2 linked regions of the Alligator mississippiensis genome follow. The protein of the gene in region 2 interacts with the protein of the main gene of each other region in a pairwise test. Links are inferred from orthologs where the notes say so. Each region holds a gene or a part of one and is shown on either strand. Other genes may lie near its edges. The genes, in order: FXYD3 and CREB3L1.

What was found.
Region 1: the proteins of CREB3L1 (region 2) and FXYD3 interact in binary tests that used the Homo sapiens proteins (3 or more experiments, as listed by UniProt). The two-hybrid records come from large-scale screens. The link is inferred for Alligator mississippiensis from reciprocal best matches to the Homo sapiens genes CREB3L1 and FXYD3.

Annotation. Positions count from the first base shown.
Region 1 is NC_081838.1:28,360,013-28,376,341, reverse strand, and holds FXYD3 (FXYD domain-containing ion transport regulator 3), read right to left. Parts: upstream 6,875-16,329; 5' UTR 6,797-6,874; intron 5,730-6,796; 5' UTR 5,722-5,729; coding exon 5,691-5,721; intron 5,606-5,690; coding exon 5,567-5,605; intron 5,235-5,566; coding exon 5,211-5,234; intron 4,766-5,210; coding exon 4,691-4,765; intron 4,526-4,690; coding exon 4,498-4,525; intron 4,412-4,497; coding exon 4,374-4,411; intron 4,275-4,373; coding exon 4,258-4,274; 3' UTR 4,199-4,257; downstream 1-4,198. Other genes in the region: leucine-rich repeat LGI family member 4, read left to right, coding at 488-1,086, 2,007-2,312; IgGFc-binding protein-like, read right to left, coding at 12,064-12,636, 15,029-15,627. UniProt on the Homo sapiens protein: Associates with and regulates the activity of the sodium/potassium-transporting ATPase (NKA) which transports Na(+) out of the cell and K(+) into the cell.
Region 2 is NC_081825.1:226,886,943-226,902,364, reverse strand, and holds the start of CREB3L1 (cyclic AMP-responsive element-binding protein 3-like protein 1), read right to left. Parts: upstream 5,896-15,422; 5' UTR 5,708-5,895; coding exon 5,600-5,707; intron 1-5,599.

The sequences.
Region 1 (16,329 bases), on a different chromosome or scaffold from region 2:
GTGAGCGCCCACCACCCCTGACACCCCCCATGCCACTATCAATGATGAGAACCCCCTTGGAGCCCCCCGTCACACTGCCATCAATGGTGAGCACCCCCCTCCCAGCCCTCTGCCGTGCCACCAGTGGTGAGTGCCCCTCCTGGACCCCTGCAACAGCTGCCACCCACGCCGCCATCACTGGTGAATGCCCCCTCTGGGACCCCCCACATCCCCTCATGCCGCCATCAACAGCGAGCCCCCAGCAACCCCACCTACACCACCATCACCAGTGAAGCCCTAGCCCCTTGCCCCCACCAATGCTGAGACCCCCGCCCAGGGACCTCGGCCCCTCCCACCACCCTCAGGGACCCCCTCCAAAGCCATGTGGCCCCCCTTAGAACCCCTCTAGGGACCCCACCACATCCATCAGCTCCCGAGAGACCCCCTTCTTCCCCCTATAATCCTCCAAGCTCCAGGGACTCTTCTGATGCCCGTTCTCCCCCCACAGCCACATCGCCGGTGGCGTGCAAGCCGCTGGTGCTGGGGCGCCGCCTGGTGGTAGTGGTGGCACAGCTGCGCGGTGGCTCCCACGTCTGGAAGCTGGAGGGGGCAGAGCCAGCAGAGGAAGAAGCGGCGCCCGAGGAGGAGGGAGCAGGGCCGGGGGCACCCCCCGGGGCCCGCTTCGTGCGGCTGCAGGCTCTGGGTGGGGATCTGCGGCGGCCCCACGATGTGGAGGCCTTTCGTGTGGGGCCGGCCTGGTTCGTGGCCGTGGCTGACAGCTCCAAGGCCGGGGCCAGCACCGTGTACCGCTGGGATCGGAGCCGGGGCCGGGGCGGGGGCTTCTACCCCCACCAAGCCCTGCCCGCTTGGCACCGGGACACAGATGTGGAGGCGCTGGAGCTTGGTGGGCAGCCGGGCCTGATTGTGGCAGCCGGGGCGCGGCGCCCAGTCGTGTATCGCTGGGCTGGGACAGGTGCTGGCGCTCAGCTGCGCCGCCTCACTGACATCCCGGCGCCTGAGGACGTCTATGCCGTGCGCCACTTCCAGCCCCCCGGCAGCCCCGGGCAGCTCTATGTCTGCCTCAGCCGCTACATGGGCGATGCCAAGGTGAGAGGCCCCGCCTCCCCAGGGGGAGCTCCGCCCCTGGGGGCTCCCAGGCCATGCCCCCCTAGGGGGAGCTCCACCCTTTGGGCTCCTGGAGCCCGCCCGCTCGCCACTTGTAGTCCCAAGCCACCTCTCCAGTTGTAGCCCCGCCTCCCTAGGGTACCCAAGCCACACCCCAGCTGTAGCCCTGCCCCCTAGGCCTCCTAGGCCATGCCCCCTAGTGGTAGTTGTGCCCCCCAGGCCCCTCAGATCCTGGCCCTGGCCATAGACTAGCCTCCCCTGGGCTCCCAGACTCTGCTCCTAGTCATAGACCCGCCCCCTTGGGAATCCCAGGCTCTGCCCCTAGTTGTAGCCCCACCCCCAAGACTCGTAGACCCCCCTCCCTCTTCCTCTAGCCTGGACCTCTACTTCCCAGACCCCACCCCTAGTCCAACCTACCCCTATCTGTAGCCGCGCCCTCAGACAGCAACCCCCCACCCCTAGTTATAGCCCCACCCCCAACCCCCCAGACCATGGCCCTGCCTGTAGCCCCACCTCCAGACCCCTTCCCCTGCCCATAGCCCGCCCTCAGACACCCAGGCCCCACCCCTACCACTAGCCCCGCCTCCAGACACCCAAACCCTGACTCTACCCAAGCCTTTGGACCTACCTGTAGCCCCACCCCAGACCTTGCTCTTATCCGTAGCTGCGGCCCCAGATCCTGTCCATGTTCATAACCCCATCCCCAGACCCCCATTTGTTTCCCACAGCCCCACCCCCAGACCCTCCAAACCCCAGCCCATTCATAGCCCCACCAGACCCCTGCCCCCTATCCATAGTCTCACCCCAACCCCCCATTTCCCATAGTCCCACCCCTTGCCCCCAGCCCATGTTTCTTATCGCTAACCCCGCCCCCAGCACCATGCACGCTGTGTGCCTGCCAGGTGCTGCGCTGGGAGGGGTCGCTGTTTCGTGAGGTCCAGGCCGTTCCGGCACGAGGGTCGCTACTCTTCCAGCCACTGGTGCTGGGCGGGCGCCTCTATGCCCTGCTGGGCAGCGATGTGGCCTACAGCCGCCTATACCGCTTCGACCCGAGTGCTGGACAGTTCGTGCCTGGCCAGGAGCTGGCGCCACCTGCACCCCGTGCCCTGGCACCCGTGCCCGTCGGCCCCCATCACTTCGTCCTCATCTCCAGCTTCACAGGCAACTCCCAGATTTACCGCCACGTCCTCGTGGACCTCAGCGCCTAAGCCCGGAGCGGGACCTGCCACAGCCACTGGGGGGCAGGTCAGGGGCTGTAATACTCCTCACGGTCACCAGCAGGCAGGTCAGGGGATGTAGTACCCCACCACAGCCACTGGGGGGCAGATCAGGGGCTGTAGTACCAGGGAGCAGGTTGGGGGCCATAGTACCCTGCCATGGCTGGGAGGAGGCAGGTTGGGGGACGTAGTACCCGCCACGGCCATCAGGGGGCAGGTCGGGGGCTGTAATACCCACCACGACCATCAGGGGGCAGGTCGGCAGCTGCAAAATACCCACCACAGCCACCAGGGGGCAAGAGAGGGGCTGTAATACCCTGCCACAGCCACTCGGGGGCAGGAGAGTGGCAAGAAGGACCTGCCCTGGGCTCCAGAGGGCAGCAGGTGGGGTAATACCACACCCTGTCATGGGGCGGGAGGGGGTGGCAAAAGAGGAGGCTTCATCAGCCCCCCCGGCCCCCAAATAATTTTAGGGCATTTTCAACCCTTTTGGGGGAAATTCCTGGATTTAAACCCATTTTCTCTTAGCTTTTTTTTTGTAACGCTTCAACTGGCTGTATTTCAATTAAACCAAAAATGTTCATTTTCTACTTGGGTTTGCTCTTTGGCCTTTTCTGTTTTAACTGAATTTGGCTCTTTTCAACCGAATTTCCTTCTTCCATTTTATTTCCAGGGATCTGGCTATGAGCTCTTTTCCTGAGGGTATTTTAACCAATCTTGCTCTTTTCTTGCCCCCCTCAAAAACCCCCACATAATTGTTTTGAATCAAAATGTGTATTTTTGGCCTTTTTTACTAAAAGTTTGCATTTTTGCCCCTATTTTTTTATCACAAATGTGCATTTTTACCTTACTCATCTTTTACTAAAAATCAATTTTTTTGTCCTTATTTTTGACCCCAAAAATGCTTTTCTGGCCTTATTACCAAAATTGTACCATTTTGGCTTTTTTTTTTTTTAAATAAAACTGCATTTTTTGGCCAAAAACACTCATTTTGATCTAAAAATAAGGATATTAAGACCACAAATGTTCATTTTTTGGCTTTACTTTTTGATCACAAATGTGCAGGTTTTGGCCTTGTTTTTGACCAAAGATATAATGTGATTTTTTTTTGTCCTTTTATCCAAAATTGTGCTGTTTTGGCCTTATTTTTTTTAACATTAAATGTGCATTTGGGGCCAAAAAACACACATTTTTGGTCTATGGCCTGATCTTTTAACCAAAACCATGCAATTTTTGGTTAAAAAACCACACATAATTGAGTGAAATAAAAGGCTATTTAGAACAAAAATGTGGGGTGGAGGGGTTACTTATTTTTTGGCGAAAAATATGCATATCTGGCTTCATTGATTTGATCAACAATGGCCTCCCCCCCATTTTTTTTCCATTTCCCCCCAGCAGAGTCCTCATCTCCTCTCTCTGCCCCTCCTCCCTTCAATTTCCAGCCTTCCCACAATAACATTTAGGATTTTTTCCCCAATTTTGTGAATTTCAGCCCAAAATGGGGAGCTTGACACAGGGAAATTTTCCTGCTGCTTCTCACAGACATTTTGGGGGCTCCTGGCTTATCTTGGGATTTTTTTTTTTTGCCCAATTTTGCCTTTTTTCTCCCAATTTTTTCACTATTCGTTGCACCAATTCTTGCGTGATGTCACTAGCTGCCCCCCCCCCGCGCTATGTAAATATGCCCAATGCAAAGCACTGGGATGGTCCTGGCAGACATTACATGTATGGCGCAACCAATGTGCACCTGGGCTCCCGGCGCCCCCGGCTCTCACCCACTGGCCCCCCACACAGCCCAGGTGGCTGGGCTCCTGGCTCCTCCTCCTCTCCCCGGCAGTCCACCCTCCTGTCCCACAGAACCAGGCATCCCGGCACGCTTGACCTCAGGGCAGCCGTTTATTACGTGGGGGGCGGGACAAGGAGGTCTCCAGGGGCATCATGCACTGGCAGCTCCTGCAGCGGGAGAGAAGGAGAGGGGAAAGGGTGAGGGGGGCAGCCACCCCTGACCTCCCCCTTGACCCCTGCGGGGTGGGGCAGGGGGCGGGGCCTCACCTGGCACCAGAAGCTTGGAGGTCTCTGGGGGGCGGCGGCTGCAAGGGGGGGGAAAGAAAACAGGGGAAGGTCAGCATCCAGGACATGCCCCACCCTCCCCCCAAGCCACACCCCCTGCTCCTACCTGGCACGGCGGCACTTGCACTTCCCACCTAGGAGGCAAAGGGGTGGGTCAGACAGAGGAAAGCCCTGTCCCCAGCCCTGCCCACCCTGCCCCCGGGAACTCCTGGGAATGCAGCAGGCCCCGCCCCTTATCCCGGCCCTGCCCGATGGAACCCCAGCCAGCCCCGCCCACTGGCCTGGGCTTGCCCACTCACTCAGCAGCACCACGATACCCATGACGCAGAGCACGGCCGCCACCACCAGGCCTCCCATGCGCAGACGGTGCCAGTCTGGGGGTGGGGCAGGGGGCAGGGTCACAGCTGGCCCTGCCCACTGCTGCCCCCAGCCCCGCCTCTTGCCTCCCATACCCTGCCCACAGGCCCAAACTCACCCTGGAAGCCACCCCCCTCCATCCTGGCCCCACCCCCACTAACCTAAGCACCACCCCCAGGTCCTAGGCCCTGCCCCCTTTGCCCCAGCCCCCATCTCTGCCCCATTAGCCCCACCCCCTCTGCCCCAGCCCAGCCCCCAGTCCCAATAGCCCCTCCCTCTCTATTTTAGCCATGTCCCCAGCCCTTAGGCCCCATCCTCTCTGCCCCAGCTCTCCCTCTCCCCCATTAGCTCCTCCCCCTCTGCCCTAATCCCAGCCCTTAGGCCTCTCCTTCTGTCTCAGCCCCATCCCCATTAGCTCCTCCCCCTCTGCCCTAGCCCCGCCCTGTCACCCCTCATACTCACCGTAGTGGAAGGGGTCATTCCCATCTGGGGTTGGGGGAAGAGAGAGAGGGTCAGGGGTTACACTGCCTGGACGCGTCTTCCAACCCCACTGTAGATGGGGGGGCTGGGGGACGAGAGGGGGTGGGGGCCAGGACCCTGGATGCCTGGGTTCTCCAGGAGGGCAGTGAGGGCTGGGGGCTGAGAGCAGGGGGTTCTGGGAGCCCGGACACCTGGGTTGCTCAGCCCCTTCTAATCCAATGCCCCCCCCAGCTTCTTCTCCCCCTCCCTCCCCCGCTGCCCCTTCCCACCCCCATTGGAGTTCAACCTGGCCCTTTCCCTTGGGGGAGGCAGGGCTGGGGTGCGAAGGGTTAACTCACCTGCCTGGGCGGAGACCAGGGGGGCAAGAAGGCAGAGCCCTGTGGGGGGGAAGGGTTGTGAGCTGCCCCCAGGGGCCAGGTGGGCCTGATCCTGGGGGAGGGGGGGACTGGGAGGGGCACTCACCTGCCAGCAGCACCTGGAGCCCGGGCAGCATCTTGGGGCCTGGGGGAGACGCACCGTCACTGCCCAGACGCCTGGGTTCCCTACCTCGAGGGGACCCAGGCATCTGGGCACTCCCAGGAGGGGAGTGGGGGCTTGGGGGGGAGAGCTGGGGGGTGGACGGCCCGGATGCCTGGGTTCTCTGGGGTAGCATGAGGGGCTGGGAGCAAGAGCAGGGGGAGCTGGGGGCCCGAATGCCCGGGTTCCTCCCCTCAAGGGGACCCAGGTGTCTGGGAGCTCCCAGGAGGGGAGTGGGGGCTGGGGGCCTGGGCGCCTGGGTTCTCTGGGGTAGCACGAGGGGCTGGGTTGAGAGCAGGGGGGCTGGGAGCCCGGATGCCCGGGTTCCTTCTCAGGGCCTAGTTCAGCCAGGGAACCCAGGTGTCTGGGGCCTGTTTTACCCCTCCACCCTGGGGGGGGGGCATGGCTGAGTCACTGGCTGGCGGGAGCCCGGGGCTGGATTCCTGGCTGGGGCGGCTCCCGGCTGCTGTGGGGTGAGGCAGCCGGGCCCTGGGTTCTCTCCTGCTCTGGGAGGCTGGCCGGCCGGCTGGACATCTGGGTTCTTTGGGAGAGGAGTAGGAGCTGGGGGATCAGGGCAGGCGAGGCTGGGAGCCCGGACACCTGGGTTCTCTCCAGCTCTGGGAGGAGAGTTGGGTCTGGGGAGGGTCAGAGCAGGGGTTGGGGGCTGGGAGCCCGGACACCTGGGTTCTCTGGGGGGGGCTGGGGCCCGAACCGGGGTTCTCTGGGAGAGTGGGGGCAGGGGGGCCTGGGGGGTGAGAGCAGGGGGGTCCAGGAGCCCAGATGCCTGGGTTCTCTCCAGCTGTGCAGGGGGGCAGCAGGGTCAAGCACAGGGGATGGTACTTGCCCCCCTCCATCCAGGCCCAGGCCTGGTCCCCCTGCTCCACACATGGGGAAACTGAGGCACATGGTGGCCGAGCACCCCGGCAGGGCCTGGCTTGGCTGTGAAGAGAACCCAGGTGTCCGGGCCCCCATCCCCTGGGTCCCACAGCCTGGAGGAGAGGGTTCAGGGGAGGGGGGGTTTCATGCTTCTGCCCCCCCACCCCCAAACTCACCCCAGAGACAAGGGAGCTGCACCTGGAGCCGAGACGAGGCTGAAGCTACCTGGGCAGGTGAGGGCGGGGCCGGGCAGCGGGGCTGGGCCAGACGCCTGGGTTCCCTCCAGCTCTGGGAGGGGAGTGGGGCCTAGGGGTGAGAGCAGGTGTGGGGGCTGGGAGCCTGCGTGCCTGGGTTCTCTGCTCTCCCCATCCCTGCCTGGCACCATCTTGGGCTGGGATCGGGGCCTGGCTGCAGCCTGGCACCGCCAGCGATAAGGTGAGAAGAGGCAGTCACTGGGCTCCCAGTAGGCCCCAGTGACAGCATGGGCAGGGGGCACTGGGAGCCCAGATGCCTGGGTTGTCTGGGGTGTGGGAGTGGGGTGGGAACAGAGGGGCTGGGAGCCCAGACATCATGGGTTCCCTCCGGCTTTGCAGGAGCCTGGCCCGGAGCAGGGCCTTTGTAGCTGGCTACATCTTGGCCCGGGCAGCTGTTTAGAGGCTGCCGCCAGTCAGTCTGTGCCCCCCCCTCCCCCGCCCGCCAATGCCCAGGGCTGGGAGCTGCAGCGGGGGTTGGGGGGTTGGTGCCAGCGCCCAGGGAGGCACAAAGGAGCCCAGGCAGGAATGTGGAGCTAGTGCCAGCTCAATGCCCCCCCGCCAGGGCCAGAAAACAGCTGCGGGTCAGGAGTGAGGGACACCATGGGTATAAGTGGGGGGGCTGTGGGTTGGGAGTGAGGGGCACTGGGCAGGCAGGGGGTTGTGGGTCGAGTGAGGGGCACTAGAAGGGCTGGGGGGCTGCGGGTCAGGAGTGAGGGGCACCAGGGAGTAGAGGGGTTGTAGGTCGGGAGTAAGGGGCACCGGCAGAGCTGGGGGTTGGGAGTGGGGGGCACCGGCCGCACAGAGGCCCATTGTCCGGTGCTGGCCAGGGAACAAGGCGGCTTTGAGGCTTGGATCCAGCTGAGGCTGCAGGAGCCAAAGGCCGTGGGAGGGGGATGGGGGCTGCCCTGACGCCTGGGTTCTGCCTCCCTCCTCCCTGTCCCCGCTGGCTGCCCCCTGGATGGGGCCTGGGTCAGGGCACGGGTGGGGCTGGGAGCCTGGATGCCTGGGTTCCCTGGGGGGGAGGGGAGGGTTGGAGGCAGCATGTGTGGGAGGAGGAACATGCAGCTGGCTCTGGGGTGGAGCAAATGGGCCCCTCCCCTTCCCCCCCTGCACAGCTGGGCGAGAACCCAGGCATCCAGGCTCCCAGGCCCCCTCGTACCCTGTGATGGTGTCACAGCTGGAGCCAGCAGAGCTCAGGGCTTCCCCCAGGGCCCTTGAGGGAGCTCTGGTACCCCTCACTCCCAACCTGCAGCCACTTGTCCCTGTGCCCCCAGCTCTGCCAATGCCCCTCACTCCAAGCAGGGAGACACGCACCCTGGACTCCCAGCTATCTCCACCCAGCACCTTCAGCCACTCGCTGCTTTCAGAGCAGCTCCTCTGTAACCCCCGAACCCAGCCAACGGCTCCTGGTACCTGCCCAGGTGAGCTCCAGATGTGCAGCCAACCCTGTCAGGATCGTGGCTCCAGGTCCTGGCCCAGGAGACATCCTCCAGGTCAGTTTCCACGGGCTGTGGTTGCCACGGGGGTTGGAGTCTTTGTTGCCTCAGTGGGCCAGGGCAGGCCAATGCCGGGACTCAAACCCAGCACCCAAGGCTGGGCAAGAAGTTGGGGGAGGGAGGTGGCTCTGGCAGGGCCGCAAAGTAGGTGGGAGTGCCACATCACCTTCCTTTGCATTATGGGGCAAAGCACTGCCTGGGGTCTATGGTGGGGTTTGAACTCATGTCCCATTGCAACTTCTGCTCCTGCCCCAGGGACCTCCAAATCGGGGCTCTTACCCCCTTGCCCCGCCCCACCAGGCACAAAAGCTGCCGGCTGTTACAGCCTGTGTGTCGGGGGTGAGAAAAGAGGGAGAAATGCTCTCAGCTTCAGGGACCCCCAGAACCTGCCCCTGGGTCCCAGTTGCCCCCCCCCCCTTTGATACCTACCCTACTGGACTCCAAAACCAACTGCCTGGGAGAGGCAGTAGCATTTCTATCCAGGCAAGAATCTATCATGGCTTAATATTGCCCCCACAATTCCTCCTGATGTCTTCACTGCCCAGCTGTTAAAGGACTCTCTCTCCTTTTGAATGGCCCCAACCTTCTGCTAGTCAGGCTGCTCTTCTGGTGCAATTCTGCTGTCTCTTAATGTAGCTCCTCCTCTCCAGCCCCTGGCCCTCTGGACTGGATTTAACTCTAGCTAAAACACACCCACTCAGGTGTGGAAAGATTAACCTGGGGGAACATCCACATGGTGAGGAAAATAGTGTCCACTGGAAGCACCGCCCAGGGCTCAAGAAGGCCAGATGCTGTTTCATGAGTACTTTTAATTGGAAGGAGAGAACAAAAGAAAGAGCAGCTTGTGATTATTTTGTAATAGGGAATCATAGCGAAGTCAGAGTGAAAGGGGCCTCTGGAGGTCATAGTCATCATTATGGGGTCATAGTGATGTCAGGGTGAAGGGGACCTCCAGAGGTCATATAGAGGCACAGAGTCCTATATGTATGGCTGGAAGGGACCTCCAGAGGTCACATCCAGTCCAACCTCTGCCTGAGGCTCAGCTCTGTCCAAATCACCCCAGACACATCCAGCATCAAACCTCTTTGTAAAACTACTGCCAACCCTGACACGACCCCAGATATTTATTGCATCCGAACCTGCCCCAGGGAAAGCAGGGGGACCGCAGCCACCAAAGTCCTGCTGCTGTAGAAGGTTGTTAAAAGACACTCCAGGGACCCCAGGTAGAGGCCATGCCCCTGCTACAGAGGAAGGCAACCCCCCCCCCCCCCCCAAGTCTGTACCAATCTGACCAGGGGATAAATCCCTTCCTGACCCCAGATATGGCATCGGTCTGAGCCTGAGCAGAGGGCAAGACCCTCTAGTCAGGAGCCTGCAGAGTTGGTCCCAGCAGGAGCATTCTCACACAGCCCAGTCCCCATCCCCAGCCCGAGCTGCAGCCAGCACCCAGAGTCTCTGGGGGAGGCTTAAAAACCACCTGACACATGGAGCAGAAAATGGGGCTAAGGGGGCAACAAGCAAAGCCCAGAAGCCTGGAACATCCCCATAGCAGAGCACAGGCATCACAATGCCTAGATGATCTCAGTGCATGTCCAGCCTCTCCTTGAACCCTCAAGTTCAAGGAGATGATGGAGAATGCACAACTCCCTTTAGGCATAGGCCTAGCTCCACCCAGATCATCCCCAACCAGTGTATGTCCAGCCTCTCCTTGAACCCCCTCCAGTGTTGGAGAGTGCACAACTCCCCTGGACAAGGCACCAACATGTGAGGCACAGAGCAAGAATCAAACGGGAACCTTCTGATTTTCCTGAAGCCAGGAGGGAATTGCTTCCACCCTTGCTGCTCCATGTCAGGGGGTTTGGAGGCCTCCCCTGGAAGCCCTGGGTGCTGGCTGCAGCCCAGACTGGGGATGAGGACTGTGCTGTGCCAATGCCTCTCCTCTAGCCAAGTCATGCACCATCCAGTAGAGGTCCAGTTGTTTCTGTTTCCCCCTGAAACCGAATCGTCCAGCCTTTCATCCCAAGCAGTGTAGCAAAGCTTTCAGTTTCCTTTTATCCACGTGTGCTGTGTTCCACATCATCTGCAGGTTCTAGGTCCGCCCCGGCCGGTCGATGACACGCATGGTAGGCCATGCCATGACACTGACTTGGGGCCCATGGGTGGGCTCTGGGATCTCCTCCGTAGGAACGCAGCTGGTGCCGTGACGCCGAAACCCAGCATCGCATACACAGCTCTCCATGCATGGTGATGGGCACAAGGTGGCATGGGGGCAGGCTGCATGGCAGGGGTCTGCACAGGGCTGGTAGTGGCTGTGGGCTGGACACCTGGGGGCTGTGGGGAGGACAAAGCCAGTCAAGAACCCCAGCACCATCCTGAGCTCAGATTAGACAACCGGACCACCAGCGTTCTACTCACGGGTGACCACTCAATGGGACTGAGATAAGCCAGGACCCAGAGGTAGGATCTAGAGCCCCCAAAACAGCACCAGTGGAAGGAATGGGGGTGAATTCAGGATGCGGGGAAAGGAAAGACAGGAAGAAGCAAAGAGACTGAGTCCAAGTGCTGGGATGGGGGCATCTCCCATGTGGGTACCAAGAAAAAAGAGGACCCTTAGGCTACAAACAGAGGATCTGCTTATCCGGGGACAAGGACACTATTCCTGCTTGTTATTGAGCATGGCAGCAAGGGTCCTGGTCCCTGAATCAGGACTTCTTAGAGACCTAGACCCTCAATGCTGGGGGCTACAAGAAAGAGTGTGTCTACATGTGCAAATAAGCACACTTAAATGTAATGCACATTAGCTTAATGTGCATTAAGCAGGCTTAGGCATGCGTCTACACATGCATTAACTCTGTGTGTGGACCAACATGGGACTCAAGTTAGTCCCAAGTCAGTCGGCACACACAGCATTAATGTGCCGTAACTAATCGCATCTTAACTAATTGCACCTATATTTGATACCTGTGTACCTACACCATTTTTAAAGCGCATTAACGGCACGCGCATGTAGATGCATGCCCTAATGCACCTTAAATTTAGGCTAATGTGCCTTAAATGCATCTTGTGTAAATGAGCCCAGAGAGGAACAAAACTCAGCTCCCTCTCCTTTCTGGCCTTTGCTCTCTGCCACCACACAATGCAGGAGTCGTGCCCTGCCTTGCACTGTGACCCCTCATTCTTGTATCATGGGACACAGTTGGTAATAAATCCCCACAGACTTTCTTTCAGAACCGTGGTTTCCAACCTGTGGTCTGTGGACCCCCTGGAGGGTCTGCAGACTATGTCTAAGGGGTCCACGAAAGATGACGGTGATGAAACAAAAGCATGTGAATACCCACATTAGCCATCCAAAGGGCTCTGCACCTCTGTTAGGTATTTTTTAAGAGTGCTTAGGGGAAAACTACTCTAAAAATTGCCACTGACTGAATCAGACCTTAGATCTGTCTTGCCCCATCTCCTGGGTCACATGTCAGCAGACAGCAGAGGCCAGAAGGGAGAGTGAGCTGGCTCTGAGCTGGGTTTTGTTCCTCTCTCTTGGGTTTTGTTCTTCCTCCAGTATTGAGGGTCTAGCCTTTGGGAGGTGTGGGGACCAGACCTGGGTGCAATACTGGTGGGAATTGGACTGGGAGGGATGGAGAGGGTGACAAACCAGGGATTATCTCTGGTGGAAGGAGCTCAGAGGTAATGAGGGGTCTACTTACCACAGAAGGAGTTGTTTCTCCATGGGGAGATGCTGGCATTTGCCCGCTGGCAGGCAGAGGCATAGGTCTGAATGGAAGGGCACAGCACACGCGTGTCCCCGCCAGACACGCACACATCGAAGACACAGGCCAACATGTAGGGGCTGGGGTCCAGCTGGGCATGGCACATGGAGAAGGGCCCATCGGGGTCCTGGAGCACCCAGCACTGGGACTTTGCTGCCACCAGCCTAGCATCCTGGGCACAGCCCGGGCACACCTCCAGGCAGCCATCAGTGCAGCCAGGCACTGATGCCACCTTCCAGCCCGCAGCCAAGCTGGAGGCATCGGGTGCCTGGGAGTCATCCGGCAGCAGGTCGTCGTCATCAGGGGTCCCGTTGAAGTTCCCGCAGAGCCCGCAGGTGTGGCTGCGGAAGGCTGGGGGCAGGATGAGCTCCAGGCCATGGGCTAGGTCGGAGCGGAGCTGCAGTCCAAAACCCGTGCTCAGTGCCACAAGCAGCCCATTTGCATGGACCTTGACACCTGCGGCTGGCAGGTGCAGGGGCAAGGGCTGGGCCACACCATCCACCTGCGGGGGAGAGAGGACAGCACCAGGGAGTCATAACCGGGCCAGGGCGGAGAGTTGTAGGGAAGCGGGGCTGGATGGGACCATCAGAGGTAGGGTGACCACTTTTATGGCACCAACTGGGGAGCTGAGATTAAGTTAGCCAAGATTTTGAATGAGAGATGTGCTTCATCAGGTCTCTGATCCCTGCAAGCCGGGCCCGGCATGGTGAACACCAGCTGAAGGGAGGGGGTGTGGGAAAATCTTGAGTGGGAGGCAGACACTCAACAAGCACATGTAATTGTGTGTCTGCTATTTGGGTGTCTGCTGCCCCTGAGAATCTCTCTCACCCCCTGCTATCCCCGACTACGACTCTGCTGGTCACTAGCTCTGTCCTGGGCGATGCTGCCAGTTGCTAGCTCTGTCCCAAGTGATGACACCAGTCGCTAGCTCTGTCCTCAGCTATGACTCTGCTCGCTAGCTCTGTATGTGGCTACAACACCAGTTGCTAGTTCTGTCCCCACCCTCAATGCTGGTCACTAGCTCTGTCCCAGGAGAAGCTGCCAGTTGCTAGCTCTGTCCCAGGCTATGACACTGGTTGCTAGCTCTGTCCCAGGCTATGACAGCAGTTGCTAGCCCTGTCTTGGGCTATGACACTGGTCACTAGCTCTGCCCCGGACAACAGCGCTGGGCGTCAGCTCTGTCCCGGGTGATGCCTCTGGTTGCTAGCTCTGCCCTGGGCAACAGTGCTGGTTCCTAGCTCTGTCCTGGGCTATGATGCCAGTTGCTAGCTGTGTCCTGGGTGATGCCGCTGGTTGCTAGCTCTGTCTCAGGCTACAATTCCAGTCACTAGCTCGGTCCCAGGCGATGACACGGGTCATTAACTCTTTCCCAGGTGATGACACTAGTCCAATACAAGGTCTCAACCTAAGGAATCCCGGCCTCTCTCCTACCTTCTTTTGGAAGCTGTTGGATATTTTAGCCAAGCCACAGAGTAGGGATGACCAGGACTGGTCTGTGGGCTGGATGAACAGTGCGGATTGGACATGCCAGATCCAGTGCCTGCGGTTCACTCCAGCCAGTCTGGGACCGCGATGCCTGCTCCAGAACCCATGTTATATGTGGTGCCTGCTCCAGAGTGGGCACCACAGGCGCTGGATGCAGCAAGCATTGAGGGGTCCCTGACTGGCCAGCACCAAGGTCCAGATGATGCAGCTCCTTTACCCTAGTTTTTTTTTTTCCCCCAATTAATCTCAAGTTTTCTAAACCCAAGTTCTCTCAATGTTTCCTGCTGAGTGAATCAATGTTCTCAGCCTGGCAGAGCCTCCCCGGCCCCTCCGCTGCTGACTTCAGGAGGTGTTGGCAATGACTCCAACTCCTCTCCACACAATGCCCGCCCCCTCCTGAAGCCCATGCCAGGCCCACACCGCCTTCATGGAGAGTTGGAGCCTAATCCCAGGCCCTGAATGCGGGAGAAGGGAGATTCCCAAAGCCTAGAGAAGACTTAATTATGCTGTAGCTCTGGGAGAGAGTCAGATGGGCATGGGCAATGCAGCTCAGTACACAAATCTGTCTCCAAGGTGGTGGACCTAGAGAGCAGTGCTTCTCAGCTATTTTTGATGCCAGGCCTCCCCTTGTTAGACTCCAGGGCCCCTTCTGAAAATCCCAGCTCTTCACTTTCACTGCTTTCTTGCCTATGGAAAAATCCTAGTGGGATTCTCCTGTTAAAAGGCCCCAGGAGGGTTCAGACTCCCTGGACTGCTACTGGAAAACTCTGGGTTGATCTGGTGAATCACGGGTAGGAGTCTGCACAAATGATAGTGCTAAGTGCCTGTGGTACCCTTCAAAGGATCTCACGGCATCCCCCAGGGAGGAGCAACACCCAGTTCAGAATCGCTGCCCGAGGGACATTGGTATCGAGGTTGGAGAGATCTTACATTGAATGGGAAACTCATTTTTCTGGTTTTTTGCTCATAATATCCCTGAACGCTGGATTTTCATCTTGTTTTTCGGAAGGCAGACTACAAATAAATAAAAGATCCTCCCACAGGTGCGGCCAACCACATCCAGCAACTGGCTGGCCCTACGCGGCCTGTTTCAGGCCAAAAAAGATTAGCATGAACCCTTTTAAAGCCACCACAAAATGGGCAGCTACTGCCAATTCTGCAGCCACTGTAGCCCAGTGTCTCCATGCTTCCATTCCAGCAAAGAGATTCGGTTTTTCCTGTTTAGGACATGCCTGCTCAATTTTGGAGGGCTGGTTTTGGGGGGAAAACCGTGTGGTAGATGAATAAATATGGTATTTTCCCACTCATATCATGCCAATGACCCAATGATGAGAGGACAGGATGTTTCTGGCTCTCCGGAGACAAAAGCTCAGGGACTTCCCCTGGGAGTGTTCACCCCATAGAGTTACCTCCACGGTGCCAGGCTGTCCTCTCCATAGATGGATGTGGACTCCATTCACCAAGACGGACACCTCCGATAGCCCGGCCACAGGGTCCTGGGGCTGGTGCTTGTGCCTCACGTCCACGCGGAAGTAGGGCGCTGCTGGGGAGACCCCACAGGCCTCGGCAAAGATGTAACTGCAAGTGCCATGTAGATCGTAGAGCCGCCCGTCAAAGGTGTAGTAGTGGGGCAGCCCGGCTGCCCAGCAGATGCCAGGAGGGGGCACGTGACAGCCCAGAAATCCCTCATGCATGCTGCAGATCTCCCCCGAGGCACAGGTGGCATTGGAGCACTGAACCATGTGGGACGAGCCCTGGCACTGGCACCGCTGCTGGCACCGCTCGCCTTCCCAGAACTGCTCTCCAGGTAGATAGTAGCGGCCATTGTGGGTGCAGCCACATTGCTCTGGGCTCACACACGTGGTGCCACTCAGCACCAGCCCTGCATCACACTGGCAGCCTTCAGCACATGGCGTGGGGCAGGGCTGGGGCTCCACCGGGCTGGCACAGGAGGCTGGGCAGGATGGGCCACAAAGCTTGTAGTGGCTGTGCGGGGGGCAGAGCAGCTCTGGAAGAGATGGGGGGGCAGGGGTTAGACATGCTAAAGGAACTCTGTTTTCACTCATTCGCTGCACCAATGGTCTCAAACTGCTCTGTGTTTGATGTAGAAGCAAGGAATCATGGGAAAACAGGGCTGGGGGAGACCTCAGGAAGCTACATCTGGTCCAGCCCCCTGCTCAAGGCAGGATTGTTGTCTCAGCCACGTGCTGCTGCCGCCTCTCAGGCTGTCTGTAATACTTGTAGGGGCTGTTGGGAGCAGGGGGAACAGAGCAGCTGTGGCTGAGACACGGAGGGGGTTAGACCCCTTCGTTGGCCTCCAGATCCCCTTGTTACAATCAAGACCCCTCCCACCCCCCATTACACTCCAGACCCATCGCTGAAAATCCTAGCTCTTCCCTTTCACTTGTTTCTTGCCTGTGGAAAAATCCAAGAGCAATTCTCCCATTGCAAAGCCCTCAAAAGGCCCAATTTGAGGAGAAGGGTTTGGACCTTTTGGATTCCTATTGGAAATGTCTGGGTTGATGTGGTGAATAGTGGGTGGAAATTTGCACAGCCGATTGCTCTAATGCCCATGACATCCTTGGAAGGATCTCACAGTACCCCGTGCAGCACGTCAGGCGGGTCGGGTTGGGTCCAGCCTGGGCACCACATCATACCCTTGCGGGGGCTGCAGGGTGGGGTAACTGGTGGTGGGGATAGATGATGGATT
Region 2 (15,422 bases):
GTAAAAAAAATATACATGGCTCTTTTCCCATTCCAATAAAGCATACTCTTTATCAAACAATACCAGCTGCCACATTGTTGTACTTGATTTGTTCATACAATTAAAGACTGCAGTGTAGCGCTTAAGCTCATGGAGCCGAGTTAAGGTTACTGTCAAAATCTCAAACCCTCAATATCCAGCTGTTGTCAAAGAAAATCTCAACTGGCAAATAGCTGGTTTTGCATTTAGTTTCTTTTTCAATGTTAAAGAAAGCATGGGTTTCAAAAAGCACCCTACCTGCTTTATCTGCTTTAACTGAATGTTCACCCCCCTGAAACAATCTTCAAAGATATACTTCATGGTGTCCAAAAAAAGAAAAAAAGTTTGTATTGGCTCAAAAAGAAGCATGAGCATCCTATTTCCTGTTTCAGTTGTTCTTTCTGGCTGCCTCATGACACAAGAGTGTCATAAAGCTACTGAAGCATATTGGTGAATCCACCTCAAAATATAACCATTTCTGAGAGTTATGAGACACTGATAAGAAGGGCTGAGAGAGCATGAAAGAACTCTCTGACTGTCACTGTAATAAAAACAGAGAGTGAATGAATGCACTCTGTCAAAAATAATTAAAACTGCCAAAGCCTTGGTTGGACAATGCAGAATACAGCCAGGTAAAAATCAATAAGTAAACATTGCTTTAAGGATTAGTCTAATTTATGAGGAGCCCTTTCTAGTAAAAAGCTTAACAAAGTCCTTGAAGTTTAAAAGCAGCAGGCTGCATACTGAGCTAAAGTAGAATCTGATTTTATGGTCAGTAGAAACTATATCTGAGGCTTGTTAGCCACAGCATGTCGAACAAAAGGAGCATTTTCCATAGACATCATTTTCTGCTTGAGATCATTTATCCACATGCTAGGTAGACATGGCACTTCATCAAGCTTCGCAGTTGCCTAATAATGGGTAGGTGAGCAAGGCACAATCCCCAGGTGCTGCCCAAGTGGGGGGCACCAGAATGAATCCAGGGGGCACCTCACCCCCCTGTCTCCCATCTCCCTCCTCCTGCACCTTCCATGCAGTGGCTCCACATCTGGCAGTCAGGAGGGCAGAGAAGCAATGATAGAGTTGGTTGCACCTGGGTGCTGGTAGCAGCCAGTGCAGGGACAGCAGCCAGCAGAAACAGGGTGATATGGAGGAGAGGTATCGGAGAGGGTTAAGCCTCTTGCCACTTTTTTTTTTTTTTTTTTTTTTTTTTTGCTGCCAAAAATTAGTATCCAATGGCTGATCTACACACAGTTTAGCAGCAAAAAAGGAGGTGATACCTTTCCCCACAGCAGCAAACCTCCAGTTGCTTCCCCTGAACTGTTTACTGCCACAGCCTGTGCCACAGAACTTGGCAAGTTCCACCTCTGAAGTTGTCTGCTCTATGTATTAGACACACTTAAACCAGTATTGTTCAAGTATTCTCTTACAAGCAGCCAGACCCTCTTCAGTCACATTTATTTATACATTCCTGGATGCACCTATTCATGTGTTGCCACAATTTCAGTTTGTTTCCACCTTAGATTACAGGTGTTAGTAACAACTGCTTAAGGGACAAGAGAATTAATAAAGAAAAGTTACCATTTAAAGAAAGGCCTTTTATTTAGCACAACCTCTTTACAGGGAAAAATCAGACATGGTTAGAAGCCATAAAAATTATGAGGTTTCAAAATCTGTTTTGATCCGGCATTGAATGAAAAAAAATCCAGAGCTTTCACAAATTTTCATAAGGAAATGGAAAGGGAGAGGAAGACAGACCACAACCCCCAGAATAACCAGTTGCCCAACAGTTTGGCACTTATTCAAGGCGTGGGAGACCCAGCTTCACAGTCCTTGTTCTGTCTAAGTCAATGCAGGAGATACAATTTTTCCCTGCATCTCAGGTAAGTGCTATAACTTACCAGACTTAAGAATGAGTCTCTCTAGGCTAGTGGTTCACAACTTTGTGGGCTCAAGTCACCCCTCATTAAACTCACAGCACCCCTAGAAAAATGCCATATCTTAGCTTTCACTCATTTTTGACTGTGGAAAGAACTCAGAAAGAGCACAAGTCAAAATATTCATGACACTGGGGATTCCTACTTGAAATCTCTGGGTTTATCTTGTAAAATGTGTTGGTGTTTGCACACCTAACAGTGCTAGTATTGTGTGGCACTCCTTGGCACCCTGCTCTAGGCTGTAAAGAAAATGGGCTCCCTCTTTCTGTCTCCACCTCAAACTCTCCCTTGCTCTGATTTTGACCAAAAGTTCCATCCCAGACCTGAGAAAGCTTCCTGACAAAAATTCTGTTGAACTGATATGTTTTTGTGAAAACTCTTAGCTTCAAGGAATCAACAGTTTATGAAGCAAGAACATTTCATCAAAAATACCTGACCAGCTCTAGGAAACACATTTGCTGCACAATGCCCAGAAGGTCTCCATGACAAACCTGAGGCCTTCCTGAACTGAGGTCATTGGTAGCTCTGAGAATTACCATACAAACAGCACTTTGAAATTCAGTGCAGCCCTTCAAAGAGCAACTATGGAAAAATAAGATCTTCCTAACAGAGCTCCTTCTCACAAAGACAGTAAGGCTTACTGGTTTTACTAATTGACATACAAATGTATTCCTTTTTCCTCTTGTTCTGTATATAAAACCAATAAAAAGCACTGGGATATATTCTGGTGCACATAGCCTCAATTAATTTGCTAGCTACATTAAGATGGCCAGTTCTTTATTGTTGATCATGCACAAGAAGAAAAAGCTCAGTTTACGCTCAGATGCCAGGGGGAGTTTTTGTGCTGGCAGTTAGAATTGAGTTTACTTTATTTATGAAGTTTGCTCAAAAGATCCAGAGTCAATGAGAAATAATAGGAGTTGAAACCCATCACTGCTTTCATAATTGCATTCAGAATAGAAATGCAATTTAAATCAGACAGGAAAACATCATACTGCACAAAGAAGACACATTTTAAAGATACAGTCAGGTAGCTGTCACCAGGTGGTGCTGTTACATAGTCTTCCAAGTTCCCTTTTTAGGGTTTGTCTACACCTAAAAGTTGTACCACTTCTCCTGTACCAGTGGAGCTAACCATACCTGTACCATTAAAATAGTATGACTCACGTGGTCAAAGTTATATGGTATGAAGAATCTTCTATTAGCACAGATTATCCTTATATAGGAAAGGGAATAAGCCATGCTGGTATGAGATGCTTATACACTAGTGTAACTGTACACCACAGTAGGGTTTTTACCAGTAAAACTATTTATGGAAAATAGTTACACTTTTAAGCAAAATGTCCATGTTGTCCATGTTCTGCGTGGTACACTGGAGGGCCTGTGTTTATGTGTGTGATCCACTAGAAGTACCCTGTATGTGTGTGTAAACATCTACCAAGTGTCACGTGAGTATGTATACTAGGCCTTGGTGAGAAACAGTTCACTCTTGATAAGACCTCATGTCTAGTATGAGGTTCTGGGATCTGTGTGAACACAAGGAGATCACTTTGCTGCCTGTGTGAGTCTCTGGAGTCAGTTCTTGAGACTGTACTGCACCCTGCACATGGGACATTGGTGCTGAAATGACTGAAAAGGGGGAATTACCTGCACATAGTTTATGACATTCTCTGTTCCAGGGCTGGTATAAATTTAAAAACTTATATTTAGAAGTTACCCAGACCCTGCATCACTGATTTCTGCTCCATAGGAATGGCAGTCTGAAAGGTTCCTGAAGCCTGTCACTGTCAGCAGAAGGGCAGCAATATTCACACTGTTATTTTAAAACCAACCATCCTCGCACAAGGTGAAGCTCACGTTCCTCATTCAGAACAGCAAACATCCTTGCCTGAAGTTGTAAAGTAGCCCTACTGTCCATGTGAATGCACAAACTCTCTGGACAATCTTCTTTAAGGTAAGCATACACAATACAGTGATGCCCTGGGATTATTTGATATTAACAGAACAGATATTCTTCCCAGTTCACTATTCATCCACTCCCTTCTCTAAAGTAAATCCCCTGTGCATGAAGGCCACTCCAAAAACATCACTTTACAAACAAGCTATAAGCAACTGAAAGCAGAGGTTTCATCAAGAAGGGCCTCCTGCCCCCTACAGTCTCGCCAGTGCTGTGAGAGTCAAGAGTTGAGCCAAGAAGCAAATTGCCACAACAGGTTGTGGAATCTCCCTGAGACTTGGCACCTTGTTAGGAGATCTGGTTTAAAAAATGCAATAAGTCCTGCCAAGGGGCTGCTGATCCAGGGGGTCTCCTCACTCCCTGCATGTGAGTGCCTATGCATGCCAGCACCTTTGTATAGCATCTGCTGGAGGTCTTCAGGATCTGTGGGTGTGCACATGCGTGCTCCACAGAAAATTGTGCCTGGCATGCACTACAGGAGGTCCACTGAGAGTGTGTGAGATCTCCTGGAGGCTGTGTAGATCCACTCGGAGGCCCTGCCTAATGTGTGGGATCTGCTTGAAGGTCCTCCTGTGAGTGTGAGGGTGATCCACTGACAGGTGTGTGGGTGTGAGACCCCTCCTGTGTGTATGTGACCAGTGAGTGTGGGCAACCTGGGTGTGTGACCTCTGTGTGTGTGTGAGACCACAGAGTGTGTGTGTGACCTGTGTGATCAGTGAGTATATGTGACCTGGGAGCCTGTGTCACCAGGGAGAGTGTGTGTGTGTGTGTGTGTGATCTGTCTGTGTATGACCAGTGTGTGTGTGTGTGCGTGACCTGCAAGTGTGTGAACAGTGAGTGTGCATGTGTGTGTGGGTGTGTGTGTGAGACCAGGGCATTATGTGACCAGGGAGTGCATGTGTGAGTATGACACCAGGGAATGTGTGTGAACAGGGAGTGAGTGAGTGTGTGTGTGCGTGTGTGACACCAGGAAGTGTGTGTGAGAGAGACACCAAAGAATGTGTGTGAACAGGGAGTGTGTGTGTGTGTGTGTGTGTGACACCAAGGAATGTGTGTGAGTAGGGAGTGTGTGTGTGTCACCAGGGAGTGTGTGTGTGTGTGTGTGTGTGTGAGAGAGAGAGACACCAGGGAATGTGTGTGAACAGGGAGTGTGTGTGTGTGTGTGTGTGTGTGTGTGTGTGTGTGAGACACCAAGGAATGTGTGTGAGTAGGGAGTGTGTGTGTGTGTCACCAGGGAGTGTGTGTGTGTGTGTGTGTGTGAGAGACAGAGAGACACCAGGGAATGTGTGTGAACAGGGAGTGTGTGTGTGTGTGTGAGTGAGACACCAGGGAGTGTGTGTGTGTGTGTGTGTGTGTGTGAGAGAGAGAGAGAGACACCAGGGAATTTGTGTGAACAGGGAGTGTGTGTGTGTGTGTGTGTGTGTGTGTGTGTGTGTGTGTGTGTGTGAGAGAGAGAAAGACACCAGGGAATGTGTGAACAGGGAGAGAGAGAGAGAGAGAGAGAGAGAGTGTGTGTGTGTGTGTGTGTGTGTGTGTGTGCGCGCGCGCAGTGGTGCCCCGGGCCGCCTCCGGCCCCTTCCCGTCCCGCTCCTCCGCCCGGTCCCGCGGCGCCGGGAGCGTGGGCCGCCAGCAGCCGAAGCAGCCCCGAGGGCAGCGCAGCTCCCTCCCCCGGCCGGCCCTCCCTTACCACACTGCCGAGGAAATCCGCCTCGTTGAGGTCGCCCAGGTCCAGGAAGCCGGAGCCGGCGCCGGGGAAGAGGCGCTCGGCGGGGAAGGGCTCCAGGAGCCCGTCCATGGTGCCGGGCGCGGGGCAGGGCAGGACAGGGCAGAGCAGCAGCGCCCGGGGCTCAGAGCCGCGCCGCCCGCCGCAGCGGGGCCCGGAGCTGCGGGCGGAGCGGGGCCCGGCTGCCTCGGCGCTGCTCCATGGGGCAGGGCAGGCACCGGCTCCGCGCCCGCTGTCACCGCCGCTCGCCGCGGCTCCCGGCCCGCGGCACGCCCCGCTCCCGGCCCCGGGGCGGTGCCTCCCCGCCCTGCCCCGCTGATGCAATCCCGGCCCCGGCTCGGGGCGGCAGGTCGCCTCAGGGGCCGCCTCTTTCCTTCCCCCTGGGGGGGCTCCGACCTATCTCCGCAGCAAGCAGGTCACACACACACACACTCACTGGTCACACACTCATCCCTCCCCCTGCACCCTGCCCTGCTCAGGGTTGTCTCCCCCCGTCTCCAAGTTGGCCCATGAATGGCTTCACTGCTGCTGAACCAGCCAGCAGCCATGTGAAAGCCTTTCCACAGGCTAGGAGAGGTGACGCCAAAGTCCCCTGTACCATGCTGATATTTCCGAGGAAGCTTTAGGGAGGCCAGGTGCAAAGGTGCTGGGGTTAACAACCTGAGGAGCCTTTCAGTCATGGTCATGGAAATGGCAGTGCCTACCTGCCCCTGGAGAGGTGATATTGTGTCTCTCCTAGGAGAGGCAGCACCTTCCACACCAGGAGAGGGCCCTGGGCTCCCTTTGAGTCTGAGATAGGTTGGTGATGCTGAATCACAGAATTATAGAAAATTAGGATTGGAAGGGATCTCAGGAGGTCATCTAGTGCAACCCCCTGCTCAAAGCAGAACCATCCTCAACTAGATCATCCCAGTTAAAGCTTTGTCTAGCCAGGTCCTAAAAACCTCCAAGGATGGAGCATCTACCACCGCTGTGTAACCTTTTCCAGTGTTTTACTACCCTGCTAGTGAGAAAATTCTTCCTAATATCTAACCTAAACTTCCCTTGCTACAACTTGAGACCATTGCTCCTTGTTCTGTCATCTAGCTCCATCTTCTTTCGAACCCCCCTTCAGGTAGTTGAAGGCTGCTATTAAATCCTCCTCAGGCTCCTCTTCTCTAGACTAAACAAGCCCAGTTCCCTCAGCCTCTCCTCAGAAGTAATGTCCACCAGCCTCCTTGCTATTTTTGTTGACCTCTGCTGGACTCTCTCCAATGTGTCCACATCCTTTCTGTAGTGGGGGACCCAAAACTGAACCCAGTATTCCAGATGTGGTTTCACCTGTGCTAAATAGAGGGAAATCACTTTCCTGGACCTACTAGCAACACTCCTACCAATGCAGCCCAGTATGCCATTAGCCTTCATGGCAACAAGGGCACACTGCTAGCTTATATTTAGCTTACTGTTCAGGACCCCCAGGTCCTTTTCTGCAGAGCTGCTGCCCAGCCAGTTGCCCCCAGCCTGTACTGGTGCATGGGATTGTTCTGTCCTAAGTGCAAGACTTTGCACTTGTCCTTGTTGAATCTCATGAGATTCCTTTTGGCCCAGTCCTCCAACTTGTCTAGGTCACCGATCCCTGCAGCACAACAACCCCCACAGCTGTCCCAGCTGTGGGTAGAAGGCAAGCTCAGCAAGAGTGTCACCTACTGAATTCCCAGCACAGATCCCTGCAGTCTCTACAACATAGGAAGCTGATTCTCTGGGAGAAAGACTGAAATTAGATGATGCCCTATTATGATTTCAGATTGACAAACTGAAAAGTGAACCATTCCTTTGGCAGGTCCAGCGCTGACACCACTAGCTGTCGACAGAGCTACAGTGACTCTCTGTGTAAGGACTAAGGCAACCATAGCAAGAAGAGCCAAAAAAAAAAGATTAATCTTTAGAGAGTTCAGTTTTTACATGAAATGGAAAGCATGCAGATGATACTGCATGAAGATGATACTGTCAGCTACCTCCTAAGAGTCAGCGCAGGTGGCAGCAGTCCATCTGGCTGCTCTGTAATTAAAGACTCAGGCATCATTTAAGAGCTCCAGGAAGATTATATAGCTTCAAAAATAGGATTATGGATCCCTCCCCTCTCTGATCCTTGCTCTGGTGAACTCTCAGAAAAACCACTTATAATAATCCTCTCATGATGATCTATCTGCCCTCATAGCTCAGCACAGTGACCTAAGGAGTCTTGACTCCCACAGGGCTCTCCCTGGATTCCTGTGATAGGGAAATGAAGCATGAAGATAAGGTTGTCTCCCAAAGGAAACCTGGCTGGTGGCTTCTAATGGCAAGAGTTATCTAAAGAGATGAACTGATCAGATGAGGAAATGTATTATGGTGATACTTGGGAGGCTGTTTGATTCAGACCTGGGGGATTCCACACACAACTAAAGATTCACATGTGTACTCTTCTTCACACCCTATTTAGGCCTCAGGACAATAGTTCAGCTCTTATTCCACCTGTTAGGAATCTAAGCAACACTGAGGCATCTAAGCGAGCCTGTTCTGTCCTGCTTGAGTCCCAGAAAAGCCAGTACATCTACTTTTGTAACACACCACCCCCTTAGTCTTAAGACTAAGTCACAAAGAGTAGCAAAGAGGAGCCCATCTTCTGCATTAAAAGTCTTTCAAGAACCAGAGCAGGGTGGAATAGGATTGCACTTTGACATATATGTGTAAGTACTGTTTAGATGCATAATAGGTGGAATGGGAGCTAAGCCTAAGACTACAACTAGTAATCACCCTCTGATCAATCTGCTTGGCACTTATCAGACCAGCTGCAAGCCCACATCCCCAATGTAAAGGATGCCACTCTCTGCACACACAGATCTGATTCTCATTACTTTACATTAATTTATTCTTTGCTTATGCACACTGAGGTGTAAAGTAGCTGTTGTGTATATGAGAGTAGGGAAATAGACTCAGTTGGCACTGTGTGGGGTTGTAATTTCAGAGATGACTCAGCCTCTCATTCAACAAGGATGGATGGAATTAGGGACCTGCATTTTAAGGAGAGGAAAGAGGAGGAAGTTTGCAACACCTGTAGAAATACAGTTTCCAGTGTGGTGAAACACTGGGACCCAAAACAAAGCAAAACTTACACTACCCTAACATATAGTCCCTGCTACTAGAAGTGTCTCAGACTCAACTGTCTACAGCAGGAGAAACACAAACCAATATTACTAAAGGGTACTGGTGAGTGATGAGAGAGTCCCATTTTGGTGGTGTTAGAGCCTTGCTCATGCTATTTCCAAAAGGCCAGGAATCTTGGTGAGATACACAGCTTGTTCCCACTGTGTTCACTCTGCCTGCATTTAGGCGGAGAAAACATGCTTATCATAGGATTCTAACATTTCTGGGCAGAGCCCTAATTTTGTCAGCCTAGGAGCAGTGAATATCTTCCTTTAAGATGCTGAGAGAAGGAACTAAATAGAAATTCCCACAATGGGAACGGCAGATAAAAGGCATCCCCATCTCCCTCAGGAAGGAGAGCATAGACTCCTTTCCTCCCAGCTTCCAAGTCAAAAGTCTCTTTTCCTTCCTTCCTTCCTCTTGCCCCTAGGTTAAGGTTGTTCGGGATGAAGGTCCATCATTAGAACTAGATTGTGATGGCTGTACTGAGGCTGAAATAGCAGTGAGTGCTTCAGATGATGGCTGTAGTGAATTGGTAGAGCTATAACAGGGGACACTTACACAGTGCCTGCCCTCATTAGCCCAATACCAGTGCCTTTTTTACACATTCAAATTCATCCAATACTTTTTAAATTACTTTAAATAAAGAGTGTCTGGTTTAGCATCTCATCCAGACTACCCTAAGGAAAGCTCTTTTCAGGAGCTATGCTCTGATTACTCTTAGCACACAGCAGGTGAACTATGGGAGGGGTGTGAGGTAGAGCTACTGTTTGCACTAAGTAGGAGCAGTGTCATCAGAGAAGGTCAAGATTCATTTGTGTGTACTGTAAAGGAAAAGTACTTTGACACATGCAAACAGGGACTTACATGGACTCCATCCCAAAGGTTAAAAATATCTCAGAAAAAAATAAATCTCTGGCTCAAGGACACTGCTTTGTCTTACACATCTTTTCCAAAACATGTTTAAGCATAAATGTGTTGGTTTTTCATAATGATGCTGTGCATACACAGGTGACAGATGAAGACACTGACTTTTCCTTTCTAGTACTTGTGCTGCAATGCCATTATAAAACATTCTGGAAGAGAGCCAGGATAACCAAGACCCTCTACAGCACTTGCACAGGGGGGACACAACATTCTTTTCCTGCTGGGCTTGGGCCTACGCTTATTAAATTCAATGTAAGTGTTGCCACTGACTTCAGTGGCTGCGGGATCAGATCTTTAGCGCTTAATGGAGGAGCTGTTTCTGCAAACTGAGTTCAAACTGGTAGTCTTGTATTATAGAGGGACAAAGAGATTGCTGGGGAAGGAAAGAGGGTTGTTACATGGTAACAGAAACACTTGCTGTTATAATTGTTATCTTCCAGGGCTCCTAAGTCTTAGGTTTAAGCTTAGCCTTTATACTTACCTTTTCCCTCAGAGCTCATCCAAGAAGGCTGAATCTTTTGTTTAATAGGATAACAGATTGCTTTAAAACACACATACACACATCAGATGCTATTTTTCTGCCATATCTCATAGCTGCACAAGGATAGAGATAACACAGCCTCACATGGGTAAGATCAGATAACATACCAGAAGTGTCCCTTTATGGAAAATGATGCAGTTAACGGAGATTAGACTAACAGAAGGTTACTGATTAAAATGATTCTGAAAACCTATAGATTTTAACAGAGAATTAACTTCTTTCTATAGTTTATTGAACCATCCTACAGAGCTTTGAGAAGATTTGATGTTCTAATTTCATTGCACAGGACTTTTCCACAAGAGACGGTGCCCCTGGGTAGCAGGTTAAGTTCCCTAGAGTAGAACATCTCCATTCAAATTGCTGTAATGAAGGAGAGTTTTGACAAACTTATACCTTCCTTGACTTGCTGGCTATATTCCTAGAAGGTGCTGAAGGCATAAAACGTCCCTTTCCTTTAAATCTGTTTGTTCAAGGGCCCTAAGATGGACAGCAAAGAACATTCTGTTTAAACAAACACGAAACTGATGCCAGTGAATCTCTGCTAGCTTTTCATGATTGGTTCCATAACTATTTGTACAGTATCAGAAGCATTGCTGTTTACTGGAATAAGCAAAAGGGTTTTAAAAATAAAAGCACCCTAATCTTCCCTTATCTCTGTGGCTGAAAAACCAAATGGGCCTCATTCTCCTTTTTGTGTAGTCATTTGTACCCGTGGAAAGGGGATGTAAAATTATTTCAATATAGTAATGCGTTATACCTTTGTACTCACTCTGCACAGGGTGACAAGATGCATGGCAGTGGAGAATTGGATATGCATAAAGAAACCAGTCAGTTTTGGAAACACCTTTTCCATTTTATAGCTTAAAAAACTGAAGTTGTTTCCCCAAGGCTGTGGTAAGATGTTTAATAGGCCCAAGGAGGCTGACTGTTTCTTTAGGAATGTGGGGTGAATTGTAAATGTCTGTGTTCTTTGGTTTTCTGTGTATACATTGCTTTGTTACAGGAGGGACTGTTTGGATGGAGGTTTGCCTTCATTTTCAGCCCAGATGGCCATTTTTAGGATGATTCATGATGTTAGAACTGTTTGCTTTGGGGTTTGAAACATTTAAACTGGCTTTTGAGATTGCTACCATAGCATGAAGGTTTTGCTTCAAGTATGGCTGAAGATACCATTGACCTGTTTATTTCTCCAGCTTGGATGTTCATAATAACTAAACTGCTAGCTTCTATCTCACACTTTTTCACCCCTCCACTGAGTTTATAGAAGAAACACTTCCATTCGTACTCTGCATTATTGATATTTCTTGCTAATTGTCCTCCCTCCAGCTCACTCCCTTTCTTTTCTAAATATTACTTGCATTCTTCATTATTTGTTGACCCAGGAAAGTTTGCTCATTGCTGTGTAGAGCACATAAGGCAAATCACGCTGTAGGTGGCTCATGGAGTTTACAGTCTAACAACCCAACTGTTGTCCTCCTTTCTACCCCATGCAACCCCACTGAGAACAGGGCTGCTCAGGCATGAGCGTGGGCTGAATTTCCCCCTGGTTAGAAAAAGTGGCTGTGCAGTCCAAAGATGATCTCATACACATATTGGATGCTCCATATGCAGTACTTGAGGATCAAACTTTCATACAGCCATTTTTGTTCTGTTTTGTTTGTGAAATTGAGAAAGCATGAACAAGGCAGAATGGATGATGGGCAAATACTGAAAGGCCTTGCAGTATCTTTTGAGAAGGAATTTGAAGATATTTGGACCTTTCTTTCCCTTTTGTCCCTCAGCCCTGCCTCATCCAGGAAATCTGCCCAGCATTTGATTTTCTTCCAACTGATGGTTTGAATGCAAACTGTTTTTCCTTGCAGCTGGATTCAGCTGCTTTCTATTTCCTGCTTCCTTGTCCATTCTGGCCTCTGGACAACTACAGAGAACACCTGTTCACACCCCACTGTGGGGGGAAAGATCAAAGAATTCACCCATAGCTTACCTTTCTGCTAGGCCTAGGGGAATGAGGAAGAGCTATGAAATTACAGTGTTCATAAATCTCTTCCAGCACTTCAAACAGGAGACAAGTTATGTCCTGTGTGTCATTGTATGTGCAGATATGCAGAGTGGTGCTGTGGATGGCATTACTGACCTCATATGGTGTGCCACGGGTCTGTCAGTATATGTTTATGAAGTTGGTATCACTGAACTCATGCAGTGTGCTTGCAGTACAATGCACAGTCTCAGTATTCAGTGTGTGTTTGTGAAAATGTGTACACACAAACTATGTTTGCTCAGATCTGTAGGAAGTGCAGGGGGTAGTGAATAGCATATTAATTGCATTTTAACATGTGGCTGAGATCTATGAAGGCTGTGGTTTCAGTAAGCACCCAGATGCTCCTCAAAGAATGAAGGAAAAGCCACAAACGGATGTCTACACTGCATTTACTCTTTCTGAGGTGCACTTAGTGTCCTCAGACAGAACTAAATCAGCTTTTCAGAGACTGAATGAATCCAGAGAAGAGAGGGAATAAAGAATTATGGAAAGGCAATATTTTATAAAAGACATGTTTGGCTGCAAGATCCCAGAAATGTTCCTCCAAGATAGTTGCTGTGCTCTTGTAGAGATGATTGAACTGCCAATTTCTGCTCTTTGGTAGGTTGGAAAGTTAAACCTCAGCATGACTTATGGATAAATAAGCACTCAAGGGTGACCTATACAAGGAGAGAGGCAGTTTGTGATCTGCTTTGCTTCTTGACAGTGGATTAAGGATTTTTAGGTTTTTTTTGCTTTCTTCATAAAGAAAAGTTTTTCTTTCCTGGCTTTTTTTTACCTTAAAAATAGTAGATATTAGGTATTGTCTCCCCTACTTTTGTTAGAGATCTCCAAAGAGAACCATTAAACTGCATTAGGAACTTTCTGAACATGTCATTGAAGAGGACAGGGCCTTTACAAAGACATTGTTACTGTGGCAGTACTAGGCCCCAGGGGCAGCTGTAATACCCGGTGGTGATCACACAACTCCTGAGCCACTCTGGTTTCTCCAAGTCACCTCCCTTTTCCTCTCACCTGCTGCACCTTGATGGAATGATTTTATTGTGAAAGGGAAGCTGCCCCAGGGTCCCAGCCCTAGCCTGTTTTGTCCAGTGGGTCCCTCCTGTACCCAGCTGACCCCAGTCCTGCCCCTGAAACAATAAGTGGAGCCCTTATGGAGGCCACCAGCTGCCTTAGGGGCCATTGGTGGCCTCCTTCCTCCCCTGTAGCCATGCCTATGCTTCACAGATATCACTCTGTTCCCATTTACCTTCCTGTATATGCTTTGGCCTTCTTAGCCTTAGCCTACAGGTTACTCTGATAGTAGACTGGTAGCCAGTTGGCCTGGCCTTTCAGCCTTAGCCACTCATTGGCCTCTGGCCACCTGCTCTGGGCTGAGGCTCTGTCCCTCTCAGCCTCAGTCTGCTTCTGTCTCACATCCCTGTCTCTGACAGGGCTCAAAACCTGGGGTGCCCCTCAGGCACCCCTGTGACCTCCTTTATAGGTTTCATAGGCATTAGGGCTGGAAGGGACCTCGGAAGATCATCGAGTCCAGCCCCCCGCCCAAAGGGCAGGACGTCAGCTGGGGTCATAGGATCCCAGCAAGATAAGCATCCAGTTTCATCTTGAAGGTGTTCAATGAAAGCTCTTGAACAACCTCCGGTGGCAGGCTGTTCCAGACCTTGGGGGCTCGGACAGTAAAGAAATTCTTCCTTATGTCCAGCCTGAAACGATCTTGTAGTAGTTTGTGACCATTCGTCCTCGTCATCCCTTGGGGTGCTCTGGTGAACAAACGTTCCCCTAGATACTGGTGGTCACCCCTGATAAACTTGTAGGTGGCCATCAGATCACCCCTGAGCCCGCGCTTTTCCAGGCTAAAGAGCCCCAGGGCTCTCAGCCTGTCATTGTAGGGTCTGCTTCCCTGACCTCTGATCATGCGCGTGGCTCTTCTCTGGACTCTCTCAAGCTTCTCCACATCCTTTTTGAATTGTGGAGCCCAAAACTGGACGCAGTACTCCAGCTGCGGCCTCACTAAGGCCGAGTACAGGGGGAGAATGACGTCCCGGGATTTGCTTGAGAAGCATCTATGGATGCAAGCCAGCGTTTTGGTCGCTTTACTAGCCGCAGCATCGCATTGCAGGCTCATGTTCATCTTGTGGTCAATGATGACCCCCAAGTCTCTTTCTTCCATAGTGCTAACCAACATAGCACTGCCGAGCCTATAAGGATGCTGCGGTTTTTTTTTCCCAAGGTGGAGAACCTTGCATTTATCGGTGTTAAACACCATCAGATTCTCATCCGCCCACTTGCTGAGACTGTCCAGGTCAGCCTGGATCATCCGCCTGTCTTCTGGTGTGGATGCTTTGCCCAAAAGTTTGGTGTCATCGGCGAACTTGGCCAGTCCGCTTCTGACTCCAGTGTCCACATCATTAATGAAGATGTTGAACAGTATGGGTCCAAGGACAGAGCCCTGGGGGACCCCACTGGTCACAGGACACCACGATGAGTGACTTCCATCAATTACTACCCTCTGGGTCCGACCCCGGAGCCAATTTTCCAGCCAGTGGATCGTGGGGGACCCAAGGCGACAATTGGCCAGTTTCTCCAAGAGACGATCATGGGACACCAGATCAAAGGCTTTTTTGAAGTCAAGATATATGACATCAATCTCATCTCCCTTGTTCAGGTGATAGGTCACCTGGTCGTAGAAGGAAATGAGATTGGTCAAGCAAGACCTACCCGCAACAAACCCGTGCTGGCTATCCCTTAAGATGTTGGCGTCGGCCAGTCCATTAAGGATGGCCTCCTTAATAAACTTTTCTAAGATCTTCCCCAGGATAGAAGTCAGGCTGATGGGCCTATAGTTAGCCAGATCCACTTTCCTCCCTTTCTTGAAGATAGGCACCACGTTGGCCTTCTTCCAGTCTTCGGGCACTACACCAGAGCGCCAAGAGTTTTCAAAGATCCGCGCTAGAGGCTGGGCTATGATGCTCGCCAGCTCCTTGAGTACCCTGGGGTGAAGATTGTCAGGGCCGGCTGACTTGAAGGTATCCAGCTTCTCAAGTCCCATGGGGCTGATGAAAGACCGACGCAAAGTACCTATTCAATAGGTTGGCTTTTTCCTGGGCATCAGTTGT